2 linked regions of the Macaca mulatta genome follow. Each later gene encodes a partner of the first gene's protein in a complex. Links are inferred from orthologs where the notes say so. Each region holds a gene or a part of one and is shown on either strand. Other genes may lie near its edges. The genes, in order: CRNKL1 and CWC27.

What was found.
Region 2: CRNKL1 (region 1) and CWC27 share a complex: the UniProt entries of both Homo sapiens proteins name them as parts of the minor spliceosome. The link is inferred for Macaca mulatta from reciprocal best matches to the Homo sapiens genes CRNKL1 and CWC27.

The regions. Positions count from the first base shown.
Region 1 is NC_133415.1:63,986,352-63,990,171, forward strand, and holds the end of CRNKL1 (crooked neck-like protein 1), read left to right. Parts: intron 1-1,110; coding exon 1,111-1,212; intron 1,213-1,993; coding exon 1,994-2,242; intron 2,243-3,166; coding exon 3,167-3,334; 3' UTR 3,335-3,669; downstream 3,670-3,820. UniProt on the Homo sapiens protein: Involved in pre-mRNA splicing process. As a component of the minor spliceosome, involved in the splicing of U12-type introns in pre-mRNAs.
Region 2 is NC_133411.1:72,827,898-72,831,717, reverse strand, and holds part of CWC27 (spliceosome-associated protein CWC27 homolog), read right to left. Parts: coding exon 3,778-3,820; intron 1,989-3,777; coding exon 1,845-1,988; intron 1-1,844. UniProt on the Homo sapiens protein: As part of the spliceosome, plays a role in pre-mRNA splicing. Probable inactive PPIase with no peptidyl-prolyl cis-trans isomerase activity. As a component of the minor spliceosome, involved in the splicing of U12-type introns in pre-mRNAs.

The sequences.
Region 1 (3,820 bases):
TGTTTAGTCTTACTTTAGATGACCGTCTAAATGTGGGTGTATTTTAGAGTATAAAGATGATCTAGCTAACTTAGTCTCTTCTGCTCAGATTAGGCTTGTATGTGGAAAGGTGACTGTTGGGGACAGGGGAAGTACCCCTCCTGTTAGATACCAGTAGACATCCAGGATGATGCCCAGGATGAATTGGGATATCGTGGGGGTGGGTGATGCCCCTCTCCAACAGGGAAGCCTAAAGGGGCTGGGGAAGATGCCAGGCAAAGAAGCAGCCAGCAGGCTGGCCCACCTGGAGAACAAGGGGGATGGAGGTGGGAACACATATCCCTGTATTCTCTAAACCAGGATGTCCTTGCCACTACTGTTGTCACTGTCCTGAAAGTCGTCGCCTGCCTTCAGTAGTTAAGCTTGACCCACAAGGTAGCACCAAACCACAGCTAGGACCGATTTGAATCTCACAGGAGCCGTAGAACTCACCCAGTTGTTTTGTTAATCTCATGCACTGACATGACCCCGCATTTAATGGTTTGGCCCCCTGACTGCGTTAAGGCAGAGCTTTGGGTATCACTGAGTTTGTCAGTTGTCCTCAGCTCCTCCACCAGACTGCCAGGTCTCAGGTGTCCAGGCCACGGTTTATTCATCCTTATGCCCTGCCAGGCTGCACCGAGCCAGTGCTCACCTGTTCAGTGAATGCTTGTTGCATTGAACTCTCATAATAACAAGGAGTGTACAGTAGAGGTAAGAACATACATACTGGCTAACCTGGGCCTATTTTCTCTCTGGAAGCTCAACTGCATGTAGCTGGAATATGAAAGAGTACCTGGGAGATGCTTGGCAAGTTTCTCAGCTCTTGATAAGTCAACCATTTGAAAAACTTCCAAAGAGAATCTCTAAGACTGAATCCAAGGCCCTTTTTCTGTAATCTGAAATTCTAGCCAAGTTTTGGCCAGCTTATAGATACCAATGTTATTTGTCTTATCCACATGTGTTCTTTAGTTGTTCTGTAAAACTCTTATGTTCCTAGATGTAGGTTAGAGTGATACTTAAGCTGTGCTTTGGCTGGGGGCATGCTGCTTTGCAAATGTCAAGACTGACCAATTTACTTGTCTTTCTTAGGTGCTTTGGAAATCATATATTGATTTTGAAATTGAGCAGGAAGAAACGGAAAGAACACGAAACCTTTACCGACGGTTGCTTCAAAGGACGCAGCATGTCAAGGTATCCTTTTGCTTTGTAGATGATCTTTCATTTTGCTTGAATCAGCAGTCCTGAAGAAAATACTCTATTTCTGTATTTTAAGTGTGTGGGGTTTTTTTGTTTTTTGTTTTGTTTTGTTTTGTTTTAAATGACTTCCTTGCTTCTTAAGAGAAACATGAGTCTCAGAGGACTTTCGAATGTTAAGTTTATACCAGGTCATTGTTTATGTTGCATGTGAATAGCTTGGGTATCACAAGATTGAAAAAAAGTTAAACTTTTTTTTTTTTTTTTTTTGAGACAGTCTCACTCTGTCGCTAGGCTGGAAGGCAGTGGCGCAATCTTGGCTTACTGCAACCTCCTCCTCCCGGGTTCAAGCAATTCTCCTGCCTCAGCCTCCTGAGTAGCTGGGAGTAGAGGTGTGCGCCATCACGCCCAAGCTAATTTTTCTATTTTTAGTAGAGATGGGGTCACCTGTTGGCCAGGATGGTCTCAATCTCTTGACCTTGTGATCTGCCCGCCTCAGCCTCCCAAAGTGCTGGAATTACAGGCGTGAGCCACTGCACCCAGCCAAGTTAAACTCTTTTCAAGAGTTTAAAACTATGTCAGACATTTAACTGTAGAATGTAGAATGACATATTTTCAGTGTTTGTATTGAAGCATATATTCATTGTTTTAATCTGTGAAACACTAGTAATGAACACATCTTTCTGATGTCATTAACTGGGAATTCGCTTTATTATTACTACATTAGTGTCTTCTGAGTGACATGGTTAATTTGGTTCAATAATAACTTTTTTTAAAGGTATGGATCAGCTTTGCTCAGTTTGAGTTGTCTTCAGGAAAAGAAGGAAGTTTGGCTAAATGCAGACAAATTTATGAAGAAGCTAACAAAACCATGCGAAACTGTGAAGAAAAGGAAGAGAGACTTATGCTGCTGGAATCTTGGCGAAGTTTTGAAGAGGAATTTGGAACAGCTTCAGATAAGGAGAGAGTAGACAAACTCATGCCAGAGAAAGTCAAGAAGAGAAGAAAGGTCCAGACGGACGATGGGGTAAGATCTCTGCCCTGGGACTGTTCATCTCACGTAACATGAGTAGAAACACATCTGACTTTGAAATGTAGACTTTTAAGTGGCATATGTACAATCTTAGAAGGGAAGCAGACCACCTGGAGTAGGAGATGGTTGCAATCTGGCTGTTATGGAAACACGGGGTAGAGCATATGGTCCAGTCAGAGGTGGAGAATGAGAAGGGGTTGGCAAAGGTGTTTTGATGACGGTTGAGTCTGGGAACTTCATGAAGTGTGATATTTTTAGAGCATTAAATAGGAAGTCAGCGTGGAGGAAGACTGAAGCGAACTTTCAGATAGCAGCCTATCCAGGGAAGGCTTGTAGGCGATAAGAAGGAGTTTGGTGGGAGTCAGTGAAGGCTGTTTTGCATAAAATGACGTGACCAGATTGCTGGCATCTGGCATCTCATACTGGTAGACTCAAGGGGCTTAGACTGGAGAAAGAAGACCCATCAGGAAGCAGTTTTTATAAGCTGAGCAAGACATGGAAGCTGGAACTAGAACAGGGCCACAGGGCCTGTTAGAACAGTATTTGGAAGGTGAAATCAGTGACTGATAAGAGGTGAGGATGGGAGGGTAGGGAGTTGGAATAATAATGCACAGATGTATGACTTTTGCTACTGGATGAATATTATGTAAAAATCGTTAAACATTTTCTTAAACCTAAGACTGCACAATGTAGTTGGAGACACTGAACATCTTGGTTGGCTGTAGAAGAGCTATGCTTAGATGTTTAGAATTTTTTTCTACCATTTTAGTTCTCACTGAGCTACAGTTGCTGCTTACTCACTCCCAGTCTTTCAGACCCAGCCCTTGTTCTTTCTGTAGTAGACTTTGATGTTGTTTTGTAAAATGGAGGAGTGTATCACCCACGTTTGCTTATCTTTTCATTGTTTTATTTCTGTAGTCTGATGCAGGCTGGGAAGAATACTTTGATTACATCTTTCCAGAAGATGCTGCCAACCAGCCTAACCTCAAACTCCTGGCCATGGCCAAACTGTGGAAGAAACAGCAGCAGGAAAAGGAGGATGCTGAGCACCATCCAGATGAGGACGTCGATGAGAGTGAATCCTGATCTTTTTTTCATATTGACAAATGTTTTGTTATTTTTATAAATTAATTGTTTGGAACTCTTGTGACTCCTGGAAGTTCTTACATATTTCACCAGTAAGAAACTGATTGGTATCTTTGATAGCTACTTTTTAAGTTATTTTTTAAATGCTCTTGGGTTAGCTAGGGGTGGGGATTGCAAGTAAAGGACTTTTTTAACTGCTGGATTTCTTTTTCCAACTGAGTCCAAACTTTTCTAGCGTCTGTCCACATCATGCATTAGAAAATGTAATTAAGGTAACATTCTACAGTAACTTTTCATGTCATAACCATAAAGATAGTTTATGCATTCATCTGAAATGTGTAACTTTTTCATGTCTTCAGAGTCACAGACTTGAGTTCATTTCCCAGCTCTGCCACTCATGATTATATAACTTAATTTTCATTTTGCTCATTCACAAAATGGGCCAATACTTTGACAACTCATTTTGAAGATTACATTATAAAAGGA
Region 2 (3,820 bases), on another chromosome or scaffold:
ATAATCCCATACTTCTTGCAGGCTTTGCTCATTTCTTTTTCTTCTTTTTTCTTTTGGTTTCTCTTCTCGCTTCATTTCATTCATTTGATCCTCAATCGCTGATACTCTTTCTTCCAGTTGATCGAGTCGGTTACTGAAGCTTGTGCATTTGTCACGTATTTCTCGTGTCATGGTTTTCATCTCTTTCATTTCGTTTAGGACCTTCTCTGCATTAATTACTCTAGCCATCAATTCTTCCACTTTTTTTTCAAGATTTTTAGTTTCTTTGCGCTGGGTACGTAATTCCTCCTTTAGCTCTGAGAAATTTGATGGACTGAAGCCTTCTTCTCTCATCTCGTCAAAGTCATTCTCCGTCCAGCTTTGATCCGTTGCTGGCGATGAGCTGCGCTCCTTTGCCGGGGGAGATGCGCTCTTATTTTTTGAATTTCCAGCTTTTCTGCCCTGCTTTTTCCCCATCTTTGTGGTTTTATCTGCCTCTGGTCTTTGATGATGGTGATGTACTGATGGGGTTTTGGTGTAGGTGTCCTTCCTGTTTGATAGTTTTCCTTCTAACAGTCAGGACGCTCAGCTGTAGGTCTGTTGGAGATTGCTTGAGGTCCACTCCAGACCCTGTTTGCCTGGGTATCAGCAGCAGAGGCTGCAGAAGATAGAATATTTCTGAACAGCGAGTGTACCTGTCTGATTCTTGCTTTGGAAGCTTCCTCTCAGGGGTGTACTCCTCCCTGTGAGGTGTGGGATGTCAGACTGCCCCTAGTGGGGGATGTCTCCCAGTTAGGCTACTCAGGTGTCAGGGACCCACTTGAGCAGGGAGTCTGTCCCTTCTCAGATCTCAACCTCCGTGTTGGGAGATCCACTGCTCTCTTCAAACCTGTCAGACAGAGTCGTTTGTGTCTGCAGAGGTGTCTGCTGCGTTTGTTTACTGTGCCCTGTTCCCAGAGGTGGAGTCTACAGAGACAGGCAGGTTTCCTTGAGCTGCTGTGAGCTCCACCCAGTTCCAGCTTCCCAGCAGCTTTGTTTACCTACTTAAGCCTCAGCAATGGCGGGCGCCCCTCCCCCAGCCTCACTGCTGCCTTGCTGGTAGATCACAGACTGCTGCGCTAGCAATGAGGGAGGCTCCGTGGGTGTGGGACCCTCCCGGCCAGGTGTGGGATATGATCTCCTGGTGTGCCTGTTTGCTTAAAGCGCAGTATTGGGGTGGGAGTTACCCGATTTTCCAGGTGTTGTGTGTCTCAGTTCCCCTGGCTAGGAAAAGGGACTCCCTTCCCCCTTGCGCTTCCCAGGTGAGGCAATACCTCGCCCTGCTTCAGCTCTCACTGGTCGGGCTGCAGCAGCTGACCAGCACCGATCGTCCGGCACTCCCCAGTGAGATGAACCCAGTACCTCAGTTGAAAATGCAGAAATCACCGGTCTTCTGTGTCGCTCGCGCTGGGAGTTGGAGACTGGAGCTGCTCCTATTCGGCCATCTTGCTCCGCCCCCCAAGAAACTAAACTTTAAACTACTAAATGTTATTACCTAAATGTAAAATCAAAATCCGAAAATGTAAAATCAATACTGGCTAAGTGGCACATTATTAGCTCATACCATTACTATGGTTTTAAAGAAGAAATACACTAAAGTCACAACTAATGAGTGAATTGAAAGATGCAAAAAAGAATTTAGCTGCTCCCTCATAGTGCACTATAATAGGAATATATTCCATCATTTTTGTAAAGAATAAACATATCCTATGGAATGTTTTGATGAAGGTAACTCTTAGATAAGTTAATCATATGTATCTTAGAAGCCTAAGGAATAACATAAAACCAAAAACTGAACCACAGGTTTAAAATCACTGGACACTAACCTTTCCAAAGATGGTATGCTTATTGTTAAGTTCATCCGCTCGACCCAGTGTGAAGAAAAACTGGCTGCCATTATCATGAGAACCAGCATTTGCCATGGCAACCAGGCCTCTCCGATTAAAACGCAACCGTGAATGAAATTCATCCTGAAATGTAAAAAAGATCTAGTGAATGTCCTCAGTTATAAGACCCGTCATATGCAGTTATTCAACTTGACCCGCAAGGTCCCGTACAACTTCTAATAAAAAATGCAGACATTTTGCTTAATTGATTTTTGAGCACTTACTATTCTTTCAATGTTATTAAACTTGAATTCACTAGACTGTATTTTCTAAATATACTCATACAGAAATATACCCTATTTTGTGGAAAGCTGCTTAGTTATACCCAAAGGAAGAGTACCCAAGGGGGAATGGATTTCTAAATTATTTCCCTACTCTCATCCCAAAGTCAGCTAAGCTTTTGAAATCTTCTCTTACTTCTCCCAGAACACTACCTTTGAGCCATTGCAGAGTCTTCAATTATTACTCTTTCCCATCTCATTCTAAATGTCATTAAACAATTGCTTTCTTCTTGTTTTTTAATTCAAATAATCTACTATTATTGTGTCATGTAATTTTACCATGTCTTTTTAAAGTCCTAAGTTGAATCTTCTCTGAAATGGCACTGATTCTATTTGCCAGTTTTCAAAAGAGCAGGAACAAGTCTTTCTAAGGTGGTTTTCTCACCACGATAGGGCTACTTAACAAATATATTAGTCTCTTAGTTAACAGAATTTCCTTCCAACCTGATATTGAAGTCATTTATAAATGTAGCCATGTTATATCATAAATGCTTTTCACAAAGGGAGATTTTTTCCTTAATAAATAATTCTCAAGAGATCTGAACTCAATGGATCACAACTCTGTATACTGTATTCAAAATGACCTAATTGAAAAATGTAACAAGATAACTGTATTACCTGAAAATAATGAAGCAAAAATCTCAAGTTAGGAAGGAATTGTCAAAAACAACTATTCTGTTACACTAAATAAAAGAATAAAAGAATGTTTCCGACTAGACGAAGTACCTAAAATCATGAGAAGTCTTACTATGGTAAAATATAAAACAGTCTAAAAGTGATATCTGAGACTTTTAAAGTAACTATTCCAAATTTCTAAAGCCATTATCATCTGGAAATTAAAGCAAACAGTTCAAATATTTTCTTCAAGAATGACACAATGACTTGGTAAAAGATGAAAGGAAAATGCAGACAATCTATTCCATTAGTATAAAAATGAATTTTTCAAAAACTCCCATATTTTAAGAGATACTGTTTACTCATTCAAAGAACATGATATTGGTGCCATCAAATTAATAACAAACACAATTTTTAGCTTTTACTTGAACTTGCTATTGTTCTTAATATCTTCACTATGACATTAACTCTTTTTCTTCTTAGATCTATGTTGGCAGATAAGAAATCACTGACCTATTCTTGATTAATGCATCTTTTACAGACAATTTATTTATTTATTTTTTTTTTTGAGACAGAGTCTCACTTGGTCGCCCAGGCTAGAGCGCACTGGTGCGATCTCAGCTCACTGCAACCTCCACCTCCCAGGTTCAGGCAATTCTCCTGCCTCAGCCTCTTGAGTAGCTGGGATTACAGGTGTGTGCCACCATGCCTGGCTACTTTTTGTAATTTTAGTAGAGACGGGGTTTCACCATTGGCCAGGCTGGTCTCAAACTCTTGACCTCAAATGATCCGCCCCCCTTGGCTTCCCAAAGTGCTGGAATTACAGGCATGAGCTACTGCACCCAGCCTGATTTTTATATACTACTGTGAAATGTTTTTTCCTCTTGTGGAACACAATCATTTTCGATTAAGCAATCCAAACTGACTTGGAAATAATAACAACAAAAATAGTAATAAAAATAATAATTCAGTCTTACTTTGAATGGTGCTCCATAGATAGACTCTCCACCACTCCCTGTG